Schizosaccharomyces pombe: one gene and its partners. The protein of the gene in region 3 binds, or shares a complex with, the protein of the main gene of each other region. Each region holds a gene or a part of one and is shown on either strand. Other genes may lie near its edges. The genes, in order: mrpl38, mrpl40, mrpl37 and mrpl33.

The links.
Region 1: mrpl37 (region 3) and mrpl38 share a complex: the UniProt entries of both Schizosaccharomyces pombe proteins name them as parts of the mitochondrial large ribosomal subunit.
Region 2: mrpl37 (region 3) and mrpl40 share a complex: the UniProt entries of both Schizosaccharomyces pombe proteins name them as parts of the mitochondrial large ribosomal subunit.
Region 4: mrpl37 (region 3) and mrpl33 share a complex: the UniProt entries of both Schizosaccharomyces pombe proteins name them as parts of the mitochondrial large ribosomal subunit.

Annotation. Positions count from the first base shown.
Region 1 is NC_003423.3:3,549,471-3,553,184, forward strand, and holds mrpl38 (putative mitochondrial ribosomal protein subunit L38), read left to right. Parts: upstream 1-1,873; 5' UTR 1,874-1,877; coding exon 1,878-1,919; intron 1,920-1,962; coding exon 1,963-2,020; intron 2,021-2,083; coding exon 2,084-2,364; 3' UTR 2,365-2,421; downstream 2,422-3,714. Other genes in the region: RNA-binding protein Cwf29, read right to left, coding at 1-316, 407-411; sorting nexin Snx3, read right to left, coding at 550-634, 715-911, 967-1,032, 1,082-1,165; SPOM_SPBC887.08 (uncharacterized protein), read left to right, coding at 2,648-2,773, 2,832-3,080; leucine-rich repeat protein Sog2, read right to left, coding at 3,352-3,714. UniProt on the Schizosaccharomyces pombe protein: Component of the mitochondrial ribosome (mitoribosome), a dedicated translation machinery responsible for the synthesis of mitochondrial genome-encoded proteins, including at least some of the essential transmembrane subunits of the mitochondrial respiratory chain.
Region 2 is NC_003424.3:2,671,286-2,675,438, forward strand, and holds mrpl40 (mitochondrial 54S ribosomal protein uL24m), read left to right. Parts: upstream 1-2,507; 5' UTR 2,508-2,694; coding exon 2,695-3,534; 3' UTR 3,535-3,653; downstream 3,654-4,153. Other genes in the region: Brix domain-containing protein Rpf1, read right to left, coding at 1-164; SBDS family ribosome maturation protein Sdo1, read right to left, coding at 886-1,498, 1,693-1,820; ESCRT III complex subunit Did4, read right to left, coding at 3,814-4,113. UniProt on the Schizosaccharomyces pombe protein: Component of the mitochondrial ribosome (mitoribosome), a dedicated translation machinery responsible for the synthesis of mitochondrial genome-encoded proteins, including at least some of the essential transmembrane subunits of the mitochondrial respiratory chain.
Region 3 is NC_003421.2:1,252,322-1,256,439, reverse strand, and holds mrpl37 (mitochondrial 54S ribosomal protein mL54), read right to left. Parts: upstream 2,123-4,118; 5' UTR 1,896-2,122; coding exon 1,476-1,895; 3' UTR 1,214-1,475; downstream 1-1,213. Other genes in the region: cca2 (ATP/CTP tRNA nucleotidyltransferase), read right to left, coding at 1-1,160. UniProt on the Schizosaccharomyces pombe protein: Component of the mitochondrial ribosome (mitoribosome), a dedicated translation machinery responsible for the synthesis of mitochondrial genome-encoded proteins, including at least some of the essential transmembrane subunits of the mitochondrial respiratory chain.
Region 4 is NC_003421.2:2,221,328-2,225,187, forward strand, and holds mrpl33 (mitochondrial 54S ribosomal protein uL30m), read right to left. Parts: upstream 1,256-3,860; 5' UTR 1,245-1,255; coding exon 1,195-1,244; intron 1,140-1,194; coding exon 896-1,139; 3' UTR 877-895; downstream 1-876. Other genes in the region: SPOM_SPCC1919.07 (uncharacterized protein), read left to right, coding at 256-876; tif6 (translation initiation factor-like ribosome biogenesis protein), read left to right, coding at 1,827-1,861, 1,916-1,987, 2,303-2,930; myo52 (myosin type V), read right to left, coding at 3,721-3,860. UniProt on the Schizosaccharomyces pombe protein: Component of the mitochondrial ribosome (mitoribosome), a dedicated translation machinery responsible for the synthesis of mitochondrial genome-encoded proteins, including at least some of the essential transmembrane subunits of the mitochondrial respiratory chain.

The DNA of each region.
Region 1 (3,714 bases), on a different chromosome or scaffold from region 3:
AACGTGATCAACACGAACCAATCTGTCAAGTAACTTTACATTCGTCATATTGTCAACGGCAAGGACTGTCGAACGTTGATCCTCATATTTTAGAAAGGCGAAGCCTTTCGATTTTCCGGTTTCTTTGTCGCGCACTAAATTAATATCCACTGGCTCGCCAAACTCAGAAAACACACATAAAATATCATCTTCGTTCAAATCAAAATCTAAGTTGCCGATGTAAATATATGCACTATCACTATAATCTTGGTGCCAAGAACTGCTAAAAGGTTTATCCAACTCTTGCTCGTTTAAACGCTCAATTTGACGAATGGAGCTACTTTTGTTAATTTTAAAATTAAAAAACGAAAACAGCGAAAAGATGAATCGGATTTTTGCTATATTTTAGCCTCAATAGAAAACTTACTTCATAACAACCTAAGGTATTTTAAATGGTAATTAAACTTTGTAACAGATTGATTTCCAAATTTTTCTTTTAAAATAAAAAAAAAGATTGACAAAAATTAACAGTTGGAGGGCAAAATGGAGAAAAACAAGTTAGCGGCGGGTTTATGGCGTAGGCTTGAATTCCGGGCTTTGTAAAAAAGAAGATAAAACACGAGAATGGGTTTGAATAAGAGGATGTCCAGCAACTCTACATAATAATGTATTAGTTTTTGTGCAATTTAAAACGCTCTTTGGGGCAATAAGGCAAAATTAACATTCAATACTTACAGTCGTAAAAAATTTTCCAAACCTTGTCTACGTTCTTCGATAACATCATCTCTAAATCTTTGAGTGAATATCTTTCCTGGAAGTGGTGGAATTGAAACACGACCGGACTCTCTTTCAAGCATATCGTGAAATTTCTCGAATTCGCTGTAACGTCGACGAACGCTAGAATTATGTAGACGAAAATAGGGCATATTGGTCTACAAAAATGAGTTAATAATCTGCTATCAGAAGATGAATTTCAGTGGTACCTACCCGACAAACAATTTCATAAGTAGTAAACATGTTTCTTCCAATACCGTGAGTTTGTGGATTTATAACCTAAAATAACATCTATTAGAAATATTTCGAAATAATAAAGTAAACATACATCAATTTCAAGGATGTTTTCAGGAACATCATACATTTGTTGAGTAGTTTGCTGCCTGATTTCCGGTCTACTTAATTTATCCATTTATTTACCCTTATTACTCTTAAGAGCGATATCCAATATTATTTTACTGTTTAACAAGTAATAGTTGAAATTTTGAAGAAGTTTAAAAGTTTCGATACAAGGTGTAGTGTCTAGCTCAGATACGGGTACGGCTAATGAGATTCATAATCGGATCGCAAATTAGTAAGGCGTTTACTGTAAACATATCGCAGAGCATTTTTTCAAACTGCGTCGTCTAAAGATGAGAATGATAGTTCATTTGCTTCCAAAAAATAAAATGGATTCACTAACGTCCAAATCCTCCTCTCACTTTCAACAAAATTAACGAGTAATACAAAATCAAATATGTAGCATACAATCCATTATGATATTTTAATATGATAAGAGCAATTGCTAGTCAATATCACATTTTTGCTTTAATGACTATTCCACAACTCCATGCATGATGAAGAATTTGATTAAAACATGTGTAACAAGCAAAACATCAGAAGGTTAAAGCAAGATAACAGGTTATGACAAACAATTTGCTTGGAATAATTTCATATTTGAATGCATCTAATCAAATCGCTTTTTTTTTAATACAAACAGTTGTTTTTATTTATATATTTTGCGATGTGTTACATACTACGATATGCCAACTAACGTCAAATACCAAATTCTAATATTACGCATAGTGTAATTTATAGTGGAAGCGAGTACGTGAATGTATGGTCAAGTACTTGAATCTTTAGCAATGATCGGACTTAAAGGTATACTCAAAGTTATCGACAATTCCGTAAGTTTAAAATATTACTATTTGTACTAATAAGATGGAAAAGGGTGCTACCTTAGCTGAGTGCATTCGTGTAGTTCGCGCGGGAAAATTCGCTTCACTTGGTAAGTAGCACGAAGTGATCTTTTGTTTATATTCGACTAACATCACCTTTTTTTAAAAAACAGGTGATGAAGTGGTAGTAGTGGTAAAAAAGGCACGAAGCGGTTCATCAGTTACTGCTGCTAATAAAGTTAAACGCGGTGATATCCACCATGCTATCATTGTTCGGACGAAATCACCAGTTCGAAGACCCGATGGTCGTTATGTTCGTTTTGATGATAATGCCTGCGTCTTGGTTAATAAGGAGTGTGAGCCTCTGGGAACCCGTATCTTGTCAGTCGTTGCCAACGAGCTCAGAACAAAACATCATACTAAAATAGCATCTCTTGCTCCACGAACCATCTGAAAAGGGTATTGTAATGTTAATATTTCACTTAATTAAAATATATTTTTTAATTTTCTATTCTACGTCTAATTAAGGGACCTTGTCTCTTCAGCAAACACTTTTTACCTGATAGCCAATTAAGATTTTGCTTTTTTGGAGTTTTGTTACTCGTAAGCATTGTGGGGTTAAAAGGTTTTTACTACACACTTTTTTAGTAAAATACAGCTGTAGCAGGCTTTATTATATAGTCCATTATCTGTTAAATATATCTGATCGATCAAAAGAATTTAATGTTCTAGTAAGAATGGATTTGCTGGCGATTGATTTGGATTTTGATGTTAGTGAGTCAAAGCTTGAACGGAATAAGCGATTAAAACAGAAAGTAAGCATTGAAACTGATGGATGGACTCCAAGAGTTCAATGTTTTGGTGTATGTTACTCATTTTTTACTCCCAATTTATTGTCTATGATTTTAACAGATTATTCAGCATCTTAGTAAAAATGGCGTCGTCCTCGGTGAAGAAGCCTATATTTTAGAGCAATCAAAATTTGCAGCGGAAGAACAATATTATCTGGGAAACTATTCCTTAGCTAAAAAGTTTGCATTTCAAGCACTTGATGTTCCAACTGATAGTTCCAGCATTGAGTACCACAGACTGAGTTCAGGCGAAATCAATGAAATTGAAGACATCATCAGAAGATGCGAAATGAAACTTGAAAATAAGCAAAGCAATTAATTAGAAAAAATTTTTGTCTTGTCAAAGAGTACCTACCCAAAACTACACACTCTGTCTAATTTTTGTACATGATTTTCATGTGGAAACAGATTAATCACTACTTGTACCATCATCCTTTACAATTTGTCCTTGGTTTTGTTATTTGAATAAGAAATAAATTAATCAAATTCAATCGTGCATCATTTTTTGTATCATTAAATTTATAGTCTTTGTAGGCTTTTGAGTTATCGAGTTACCAATTATTCCTCATCAATCTTCATTAAAAAATTCTTTAGCGCTGTAAACCTTCCACGTTCCCATCCGCGTCAGTAAAGTAATCGATTTTATTAGTACTATAGGCTGACGCCGGAATTGCAGCTGGTGACATGATTAGAGGAGATGTAATAGATTGAGCAGCCGAACCCAGAGCCGCTGACAACGGTGTTGCAGGTACGCGGGCTATTGGGGACATCAAAGGAACAGGAGTGGCTAAAGATGACTCAGTGTAATGTCGAGCAGAGGAAGAAAGTAAGATAGTAAGATCTTTTGTAGATCTTGTTGCAGCTGAAAGACCAGCTAATACGCTTTTTTGGAATGTATATTCACTGGATAACGCTTTCGCTAAATTTGCGACTGCAATAATAGACTTGACAAA
Region 2 (4,153 bases), on a different chromosome or scaffold from region 3:
ATAGTAGCGGGAATATTTTCTGAAAGTCGCAATCTCTTCTTTTCCGGGTCTTTTTCTTCTTCTTTAGCACGTTCTTTTCTTCTTTCAAGCTTGTCCTTATTTTTTTGATGAAGAGCCTTCATATACTGCTGTTGGCGGACAATTTTGTTTTTAATCTTCCCCATTTTAATAAGTTGCGTATAATCTCTCAAAATTTAAAATTTAAGAATGAAATAATTTAAATCCTTACAAAAAATTGCAACTAAAAAAAATTGAGATAAGAATGAGCAACTTAAGTACAAATAAAAGAGAGTTAAAAAAAAGTATACGATGGGTTTGAAGTCTCAAAAACTTATTGCACAATCCAATTCCATGTCGCAAAATACCGAATCTGAAGAACATGCTACGAATTTCGTCAAATTTGCTTAAAAGTATTAACGCAGTATTATATCACACTGCTGTTAAGCAAAATGTATACTTTAGTTACAATTACTGTTTGTAAATAGGTGATATTACAATCCGAAATCGTACACTATAGATATCCTCATCATTAAATTGTTGAACAACTGAAAGCATTGTGGTAAGGGTTCAACATTCTACAAATCACTCACGCTACTTTCATTTTCACATTTGAATGCGTGCTTTGAATGGAACTAGCAGAAATGAAAGGGACGATAGTCTTTTAATTTCATTTCTTTACTTTCTTTTTACTTTCTTCTGAACTGAATTGCTATATTGATAAATTAAATAATGTTCTGGATAACCAGAACGAATCAGAACGTGTCTTTTAATAGCAAAATTTTTCAAAACCAAAAGCCAATGAACAATGTAAGCAAAAAGGAGGAGGAAAACAGATTAGGGAATTCATATAGAGCGTATTTTCAGAAAGGTTATTTGTATACCTTTTTAAGTCCTAGCCTCGCTCATGTCGAGTACTTGAACCATACCTCGGTTTTTGGTCTCATTTCGGACAAGTTCATCTATCAACTTATAATTCCCTGGAATCACGAGAGCTATGCACTCATATTCATCATCAATGTTTTCTTCTTCAATTTCATCAGCTAAAGAGCGTAAACGCTCTCGTAAAGCTTTTCCCTGTTTGACATCCACCACTATTCTGATGCGCATACGCGCACGGACGATAGGAATTTCGTTTTTTTCTTGCAATTTCTTAATAGCTTCCAGAGCTTGGGACTTTGCAGTTTTACTGGTAGAGACAGAAAAGCCACAATCAGATAATGCTTTTTCAATTATAGATGCTGGATAAGGTCGTTTAGAATTAGGATCCATGCACATCGCAGTAACATGGGAGACAATATCGCGATAAGTTGAAGACATTTGATGATGTCTTTCCTTTTCACCTACTTGAAAATCTCCTTTTTGCAAAATTTCTAAAATAATTTTATCTATATCATCTGTACCAAAAGCCTTTTTCAAATCCTGTCGGCTAGCTACATGTCCTTTAGAAACATTGTTAAACACATTGTGGATTTGTAAAACTTCATCCAGATCTGTTTCACTAAACTTGGTTAGCTATGGTTTTGATCAAAAAAAATTGTACGAGTTATTGAGTTGTTGACACCAGTCGACAAGACACGTGAATTCAAAAAGATAGCTTGTTATAATTTTCTGCTGATCTTAAAGAATATTTATCTGTAGCAAAGGCTGACTCTCACTAATTACAGTAGCTTAATTTAATGAAATCATGCATACATTTTGTTTCTCCATTCTGTAACTTTATTTTTATAACAAGCAACTTCAAATCTTTTCCCTCCTTTCTTATATTTTACAACGGACACATTGGTTAGACGAATTTGTCCAACAGGTTGACTAATAACCATTTTGCTCAAGATGGGTACTTTTTTGGATTATTTTTTGTTATTCTCACCTTCTCTAATTATAGTGTTTTAATCCAACGCCTAAATCTGTTAAACAGGTTAACAATCCATACACTATATATCGGTATTTAGATTTATCTGAAAATTAAACAAAAATTTGATATTTGCGAGCCTGAAAGGCAAAAGGATGGTTCCAATCATTTTTCGGATGTTAACATAATCTTGGAAAACCTTATGGTTAAATATTTAATATAAGTGCAAGTTATTTGTCGGGTTTTCTAAACCAGTTTACAAATCACGAATGATATTAGGCTTTTAAAAATTATTACCTAAATTCAGCAAATACTAAAAAAAAAGTAGAAAACAATAGAAGTATCGACTAAGTTTGAGTTATCCGACAAAACTTCAATCTTACATCCTAGTATATTAACACAACCACTTGCGAAGCGTTTCTATACGATTTCGCTTAACATTTTCAATTTTAAACTTATAAACAAATAGATAGAATGACATTGTCTTAACGAGTACACATCATTTTAATGTTGGTTAACGATGTCGAAGCTGTAGAATATTGCGTGCAAAAGCAAAAGCAAATTTTAAATAATGAAACTTAACCACGTATCGCAAAGTTGCCTTTGTGTAACAATGATCCATTTCTTTACTTATTGACGAAGAGAGTACTCAAATAACAACTGCAAACTACCAGCAGGATACACATTACTGTTTCATAGCATTCTTATTTTTTCTCTTATATTTGGCCATATTTATCCTGTCTAGAGGTTTTACTTTCGTTCCAACATTACAGCGTAGTAAATTCCTCTGTACAAGTGATGTACCACCGTTAGTTATTTAAATATTATAAAACTTTTTGAGCAGAATGAGAGACTTGCGTAAATTAATTCCAAGGCTCCGAGGCCCTGGTACTAACGTCTTAAAAATGAAAAAGCCTTTACCGTTGCATATGCGAACCAAAATACGCGAACACCTCAATAAATCTGATCCAACTGTTAAAGACGATAAATCCGCTAAACCCGAGTTACCGTTTGGAAAGCCAGCTGACAGAGTCCCTTTCTGGCATATTTTTAAAGGGGATTATGTATATGTTCATCAAGGACCTCTGAAAGGAAAATGGGGCCGTGTTGTTGAGACAAACAAATACACAAACGGTATTACCATAGAGGGGGTTAATGTGAGATCCGTCAAAGTACCAATTTTTCTTTTGCGAAATAAGCCTGAAGATAACCAAGATCCAGTAATTGATATTGCTCACGAAGTACATTATGCAAATGTGCGTCTTCTTGCGCATGCAAAGACTGACGCCGGGGAACCAGTTCTTATTCCAGTTAAGCTTAAAAAGCATTCCTCAACTAATCTCCGGTCCATTATTCGGCCTAATATTGAAGGAGTACAAATTCATACTATTCATCTTCCTCGTCCCAAGACTGAAGATAAGCCTAAAGATCCCGAAGGTAAACTCGATACTAAGAATCCAGTAGTTAGTAAAGTTACTTGGTCTCCTAGCTTATCGGAGCCTCCTCTTCCTCCGTTTGCAATTGGCGATTTACGAGCCAATTGGTCTCGCCGTTTAGATCGTATATGGGGATATAAAAAGAACAATGATGATTTTACTGAAATTGCTAAAGATCTTGTCCGAGCAGAGACTGCTGCTGAAGATTTAATAAAAAAACCCATCTCTCCTAATACTTACAGTGATTAAAACAAAAACGATGTTTGGTCGTTGCAAGCATTTTTTTATAACATTACATAATGATTCACAATCTCTAGGTTATAAAGCTTAATAAACTTTTGTAAACTCTTCTAAAAAATTTTTCAAGAAACTTAAATATATTTAACTTAGTAGAGTAAGTGATAAGTGATTTCAATGAAAGTGAAGTATTTGAAGTTTACACGTTAACCTAGAAAAACTTTTACTAATCAATGTAGAAAATCTATACAAATCAAGATCTTTAAAGTCCATTAATCTCTTGTGCGAAAATTAACGCTTTGCCAGTTCATCCAATCTGGCTTGTAAATTGTCTTCAGTCTTTAACTCCGGTACCGTACCAATTTGGGTCGCAGCATCTGGCAATCCTTGAGACAAATCGACTCCAATTTCATCCAACACTTTATTGACAAGTTCATCAGCTTCCTCTTCGTCATCTTCTTCTAAAGCATCGTCCATATTTTCATCAATCATTTCTTGTCTCTGTTCCATAATTTCATTTTCACGCTCGAATTGCTGAGTGATACGAGCCATTGCCGGTATATTCATGCTTTTGTTCATCCCTGTCAATAACTTTGTAAAAGTTAGTTCTATATTTTTCGATATTAAGGTG
Region 3 (4,118 bases):
CAGGATTTATTCAATTGTCGTATTAAGCTGCCAATAGATGAGCAATTTTTAGTGGAAGTATCGTTAACTAATTCATCGAATATCGGATTGAATGTGCAGCACTGATTCAACTGGTTAACATATGTACTTCTGAGCTTCAACTTGTCTTTTGCGATGATTGCAGGAATATAAAATTGTTTTTTCTTAACCATAACAGTTTGACTAGACCATGGAATTAGAGCAACATATAGCCATAGCCCAATTTTCTCATCTTCACTTAATTTCATAAGTTTAGGAAACGTCAATGCAAGACTCTGAAATAAAGACTCGGTAGCTTCCAATGCCTTTGGAATTTGAAATTCTTTTTCAGCTGGCAAAGTATCGAACGTAAACTGATACGTGTTCGTTGAATATAACAGTTGAAGTGCTAGCTTCGCGTTTGCACCCTTCAACATTTTCTCAATTTCCTCTCCTACACGTTCCTTGCTAACCTTTTTTTCAAAAGCTTTACATACTTTCGGATCTTGGATAGCGGAAACGACCGACGGATCAATTGTAAATTCAAATCTGGATGCAAACCGAATGCCTCTCAAAATTCGTAAGGGATCTTCCAAAAATGATTGGAGAGGTGAAATGGGCGTGACCAACACTTTGGTTTGCAAATCTTTATATCCTCGCTTTGTAATGTCCTCTATTTTTTCTGTTCGTATGTTAAAGAATAGGGTGTTAACCGTGAAGTCTCTTCTCAATGCATCTGTTTCAACAGTTCCTGGGGTAACGCTAGGAATTCGACTTTTATCATCATATGATTCTGCACGAAGTCCTACAAAATCAATATCAAGGTCAAATAGGGATAAGGTAGCAGTTTCTAAATGCTTGCTTTGATCGGGATTGACAGTTAGCTTGCCAAGTGCGTCTTTATATGGAATAACTGAGTCAGAGTCGAGAGAGTGAACATACTCAAATATTGAATTTGCAAAGTCAACACCGGTAACTTTATTCAACGTAACGTCTAAATCGTCACTAGAAAGCCCAAGAAGTTTATCGCGAACCCATCCTCCTGCCAATCTAACTTCCAATGACGAACTGCTGCTGGATTTAGATTCAATAAAATCAGCAGTCTTTTTCAAAAGATTAACAACTTTTTTCTCAACATCGTTCAATACAATTCTAGAATACATTTTCGTCAGCCAAATTCCATAAACGATACACAGTTTGGGCAATACCGGTTTCTCTAAGGTTGGCAGGTTGAGGTTTGAATATGCTTCTCTTAAAGAAGGACATGTAGTAGTAATTTTTTTTATGCTACAAATGTATATCACTGATATAAGGTTATTTAATATATTTTTATTTTAAAATGATTTTTGGATTCTGGGAAATGGTAAAGTAGCGAATGTCATATGCCTCAAAAAAAGTAAACAAAAAGAATGGATCAAATGCTCATAAGGATAGAGAGGAGATGGAAAATTAAGAGTTTCAAACATTCTAAAAGGTAATTATTTTTTAGTAAGAAAGTTAGCCGCTCGAATGGCACTTTTACGAGCATGACTTCGGGCAGTCTTAGAATTGGGAGCTGGCTCATCCAGAAGAGACCATAACCATTCTGGATATTCATGATCTTCACGAGCTACAGGGTCGACGCCACCCGCCTTTATACACAGTCCCTTTAATATAGTACCTGGAAGGACAGAACTAGTGTGCGTTTTATTAGCGACTTTTTGAGCTGAAGAAGTGGCATCCGAATTATGCTGTGGCTTTTTGGGTGAAACACGAGAGGATACATAACTTCGTTTAACTAATGATGAAGAAGAGTTACGGGAACTTCTTAAAACCAATGTGTTAGAGTAGCATGAGAATTGAGAGATACCGCGAGTAATTGCGCGCGATAAAGGGGCCATTGACTCGATAAATGGCATTGCTTAGACAGTAAACAAAAAACTTTGCAAGGAGGATAAAATCTTTAACCAAAAGTGGATCAAAGGCGATGAAAAAGGTCAATAGTAACGCCTTCGCATATATAAGGAGCAAATACGTCCTGCTCTTTGAGTGAAAAGTTTTAGAGAATAATATTATTTCAAGTACTATAGGAAATAAAAAATGACTCTATAAAGAGCCGCTTTCAAAGTTCAAGGAGTTTGGTTATGGGACAACCTGGACGTTACTATACAACTCATGTACAGATGGGTAGCAGACACAGGTACATGTAAGGGTTTCAAGCGTCTGTTTACAATTTGGGAATCAAAATAAAATTTTTGTTTTTGTTTTTTTCATAATTATAAACTATTGCTAAGTTCAAATGGGGTGTCGTTCTAACAAGAATGTCATTAAGTTTACAATAATAATACCAAGCACGCTTGAGTACTATAGGAATACTTATGAAATAAAGTAAAGCACAATCTATCAAGTGAGACTCTAGAAATGTTAATCGAAAATTGTATTTGTCTGTGTTCGACTATGTAAGAAAGTCAAAGAAATAAAATAATATGATTTATTTTTACAATAAATCATTAGCACATTAGAATATTTCTACTTCATTCATTTTTCTCAACTTGCAATGTTTCTTCGACAATCACTTGATTGTTGTAAATGGTAAAGAACCATTAGGTGTTATTTGGGATATTGAGGAACAATCTAGTAGTACGGTTTAAATAAAGAGAACATATATAGATTTTAGAATTAGTATTCAATTATGTTTAACGTTATGTCCTTCATTCGATACGTCAGAATTACCATTTTTTTTACTTGCGAAATGTACTTATTCCACACAGTTAGCGACTGATCCATTGAGGATCGAGAAGCGCTTGCAATCACTTTTTGTTAAAGAAAAATAGATTTACAATAAATTTGACAAATTGTACTAGTCGGTGTCTTAAGTCACTCGGGACAATTGAAAAAAATAAATCACTGACTTGCGAACTCTTCTTAGTTAATAGTTACACCTTTATGGGTGTTTTCTTAAAATTTCGCCAAGTTTTACTTTAGATAGAACATAAATCATTTAAAGTATTATCCATCTCATGAAAACAATAAAAAATCTGCAAGAAGATCAATAAACAAGCTTTAACCATCAGGTTATTCTCTTACTAGAATTTCATTATTTGCCTCGATAAATTCCTATAACATATTTCTCTAAGGCTCTTCGATATTCATTTTACAAATAAAAAAAATCATGCCGACAACGGCAGGATTCGAACCTGCGCTCCCAAAGGGAATCCGCTGGGCTACAGAATAGCAGGCGAACGCCTTAAAACCACTCGGCCACGTTGTCCTCCGTTGAGACGATTAGTATTAAGTAGATTATGTATTTAAATTTAATAAATTTATAAGAGATTATTTAGTGTACCGAAATAGTTTTAAATTCATTTATTTAGTATATTTTTGCTTATAACATTTCCGGTTCATTTTGGAAACGATTTAAATAAAGAAATTTTACAATTTTGTAAAAATGTATGCTTTCAATGTACAATTACGATTTTCCCTATTTTGCTTTTCTTACACTGAAGGAAATGCTTGTGATTTCCTCGATCAATATTTGATATCCTATTTTTTTCCCTCATTTATTTTCTGGGGGTTTTTTTTTCTTTCATCCTGTAGAGAAATTGTATATACTTTCTGTTTATTTCTATATTACTATAAGATGGGGATTTAGTTTTAAATAGTAATGAACCAAATTAAATTACATTGAACTTATCAATAGTATTATGCTTTGTGCTTCTGCGATTTATTTTTTTTATTTTTTAAAATTATTTTAATTTATTTTTGATGATTCGGGATTGCTTGTTAAAATATTCTCTTGTCAGCTTTCTACATAGTGCCATTTAAATATAGGTAAAAGATATTGCAATTGAAATCAACATATCTCCTAGCACAATATTAACCATTTGCGAATCCATTTAATAAATAATGCCTATTCCTACCATATGCATTAAAAAAAAAAAAAAAAAAAAAAAAAAAACACTTTGAATATTTATTTAAGCAAAAAGTATAATGTTTAATAAATGGTTCCATGAGATTTGATAAACTGTTCATTTGATGGTGTTTGACCTTTATATACTGCTTTAAATACACGTTGGAATTATCACAAAGAACAAGAACTTGTTCAGAGCTAGGATTCGAAAATAGAAATAAGTATATTTACA
Region 4 (3,860 bases), 970 kb from region 3:
TAATGTACAATCATTGAAAAGTTTTTTTTTAGTGTTCAGTCGAGTGCGAATTTTTATTAAAAAGCGCTAAGCAAGTTTGGCTTAAAAAAAAAAAAAAAGGATTCTTCTTTATTATTGCTTCAAATTTTATTATACTCGAGTCGTTAAAAATATAAACCACTACGAGAAAAGAAAAAAATTGACCAACATTGTAAAAAAACTTATTGTCTTATAGGGTACAGGTTCCTCCTTGCCTCTTCAGACACGACGTCCCATATGGTAGTACAAGATAAATGGAAGAGAAAAGCGACATTAGCGTATAAAAAAAAGCATGACATTCATGATGCACCTGTAAAACCTCGTAAAAAAAATTTGGGAAATAACGAATGGAGATTTAAAAATGCAGGGGAATACTTTGATGAAGATAACAATGAGGAAGAATATCCAAGTTTGGAAAGTTTGAAGACCGTGGGGAATGGAGATACAATTCAAGATGAAGAAGAAGATTTCGAGTATTCAAAACTACAAGCACGGCCCCTTACTGGTTTGGGAATTAGCAACCAAAAACCCAAGTCCAAAGTTCGGACTATCCAACGTGAAGAAGTAGCCGACATGTTGGAGAGCGTTGAGCATGAAAAGTCAATTCAAGAATTCCGTAAGCGTTATAATGTACAAAAGCCAAAGGTAAACATTAGCCATGCTGAAGCGGAAGAAGATATTGATTCTTTTCTTGAAAGTATGGATCAGTCTGCTCCGCCTTCCATTACAGAAGATAAAGGGGAAAATTACATTTCTTCTAATCATTCCAGCATGCATATTTCAAGAAACGACTCTAGGAACTATATGTCTGAAAAGCCAAACAAAGACCAAAGTTGGTTAGATGAACTATTACGATAAATATAACTAGAATGAAAATTTAACTTTCAAACATGTTATTCAATTCTTTTAAACCGTTATTGTATCGATGTATCACTGTAAATCCGCTACTAGAAGCAAGAGACTTCTTTTCTTGCCCAGCGGCTAACTTTTGTTTCACAGTACTGACACTAACGAGTTCTTTTACTTTAAAAATTCTTCCCGCATTGATTGGATTTACATCGCAATAGACTACGGAGTGTCTTTTTGTTAACCTCAAAGAATGCAAAACGCTGCGCACCTTACTAAAATATTGGTTAGCAATTACAAGCATGTTTTTCTCGTTTCCAAAACACGTACCTCGAGAGCCCGATGGCTGACCTTTCTAAACGAACTCGAAAGAATGACATTATGGTAAACTAGAAGTTCGTGGAGTCCGTTTAACACTAAATATTGAAACTCTTTTAGTTCAACCGATAAAATACAATTCATATCGCAAGCTCGTTATTGTTCACTATTATTCACTACGTTGCTATCTATTTAACGATACATTGAATTACGATGAATTTTTTGCGATCCACATTTAGTGGAATGCAGTATATTAACTACAATGTTATATTTATTGTTATAAGAAGTCTATTAGTGTAAGTCACCGATATGGTTAAAAAATGGAGAGGAGCGATTTACAGTAACATCTATAATTATCATCTTTCTAGTAGTTGTAATCACATGGTGTCTATGAGTATAGACGACTACTTATCTGTTTACTGTCAATAAACGGATCTTTACTAATATTCCAACATGTAACATATAGTGATACGCAACCTAGTAAATCATTAGTGTAATGCAGTATTACCGATATATCACAAAAAATTATGTTAATTGGTATTACGTGTCTGCTTCACAATGCTAATATCATATTAACGATGTTCAATGGATTATTATTTTTAAGATGTGAAATTTGGCTGGGATAAAACTTTTTCTTTACCAAAATGGCACTTCGTGCTCAATTCGAGAATTCTAATGAGTAAGTTTACTCAGCTTTTTTGCTTAATAGACGCATGATATTAACAAATTATAGGATTGGTGTCTTTTCTAATCTCACAAACTCATACGCACTTGTAGCGCTTGGAGGCTCTGAAAACTTCTACAGGTAAGCTTAACGTTTATTTGATGCCAAAATTTAATGTTCTAAATGTAAACGATTCAAAATTTTTTTAAAGGTTCTTAAAATCCTTAACCAGTCGAACGTATTATGAGAAAAATAAATAGCACATATGTGAATGATGTAGCCTAACTACTCTTTAATTGAGTAAAAGAGACTTTGCTACATAAATGCAAACCACTACTTAAACTCTGGCGGTTTGCTGTTCATTACCTTTATTATTCCTTGACTCGATGCAGCTCGACAAATTATTTTTTTTGGCATTTTTTACATTTATCAACTTTTCACTAACTTTTATAACAGCGTGTTCGAGGCAGAGTTAGGTGATGTTGTACCCGTTGTTCATACCACAATTGGAGGAACCAGAATCATTGGTCGTTTGACATGTGGTAATAGAAAAGGTCTGTTAGTTCCCTCTTCTACCACCGATAATGAACTACAGCACCTCCGCAATTCTCTTCCAGATCCTGTCAAAATCCAACGTGTTGATGAACGACTTTCAGCTCTAGGAAACATTGTGGCTTGCAACGACTATGTGGCCCTTGTTCATCCTGATATTGAGCGTGAAACCGAGGAAATTATTGCTGATGTCTTAGATGTTGAAGTTTTCCGTCAAACCGTTGCAGGCAATGTTTTAACCGGTTCGTATTGTGCATTGAGCAATCAAGGTGCTTTGGTTCACCCTCGTACTAGCATTCAGGAACAGGATGAATTGTCATCACTTCTTCAAGTTCCTCTTGTTGCCGGTACCATCAACCGTGGTTCCGATGTTATCGGTGCTGGTCTAGTTGTGAACGACTGGTGTGCGTTTGCTGGACTTGATACTACGGCTACTGAATTGGCTGTCTGTGAATCTATATTTAAACTTCAAGATGCTCAACCTTCTGCTATTATAAGCAACAGAGACACTCTTGTTGAGTCTTATACATAAGCAGTCGGTGTGAGCTAACTAAAAAATTATTGATCAGGATTTATGAGTTTGGATAATTCATCCTACGTGATATTTTCCTATTAAAGTTTTAATGTTGATACGTTATACGTATGTATCTGGTTATAAAATTTTTGATATGCCTTTCGGTTTAATAGTCCTATCCATTGTGGTACCCAAGCTTCCTATTGTAGAAATTTACAATACAAGTTTTTTATAGACCATTATAACACTTAAGGGACTTCCGTAATCGTGTTTATTTTTATTATGTCAAATAGATTTTGAAAATGCTTTTATTGCTTTGCTTTTTGTCTGTTCTTAACACATTCGGATTTGTTAAGCTATTCTCGCTTATAGAGTAGAGCTTCTTGCTAACGCTGCATGAGACTTCGTACTTCAATTTACGTGTTTTATTAAGTAGTTTGCAGCCTTTATATTAAAAATGATCTAATAAATATACTTTCTTTTCAGTCTTTGGTGACAAACTAGTTATGGAAAGTATTTCGATGTAGGTATTTTTTGACTGAAACCAATGCGTACTCCGCAAGCGAAATAAATATTTAAGAATAAATTAAGTTACCAAGTAACTATACAAAGTGGGGAAGTAGAATAGACTACAATACTCATAGATATTTATATTTAGCAGTAAATAAAACTCGTAAAAGATTGTCATTATCAGGATGTTTTGATTAAAACTTCCACGGAAACTAAGGCCCAGCTCCAAATTTTGAAAGTAAAACCCCTAATTAGGGAATAAATAAGTAGGCAGAGCACCTTGAAAAATAACTAGATATTAAACTTTAATACCATTTGGTACTTGATTTTCTTCGTCGCTCGAGTTCTGTACATCATTGTCGGCTACGTTGCCTACAGTGATCAAAGCTTGCTCAACACTTTCTTCTGCACTAGCAAGGTCGATGATACGACGCAAAT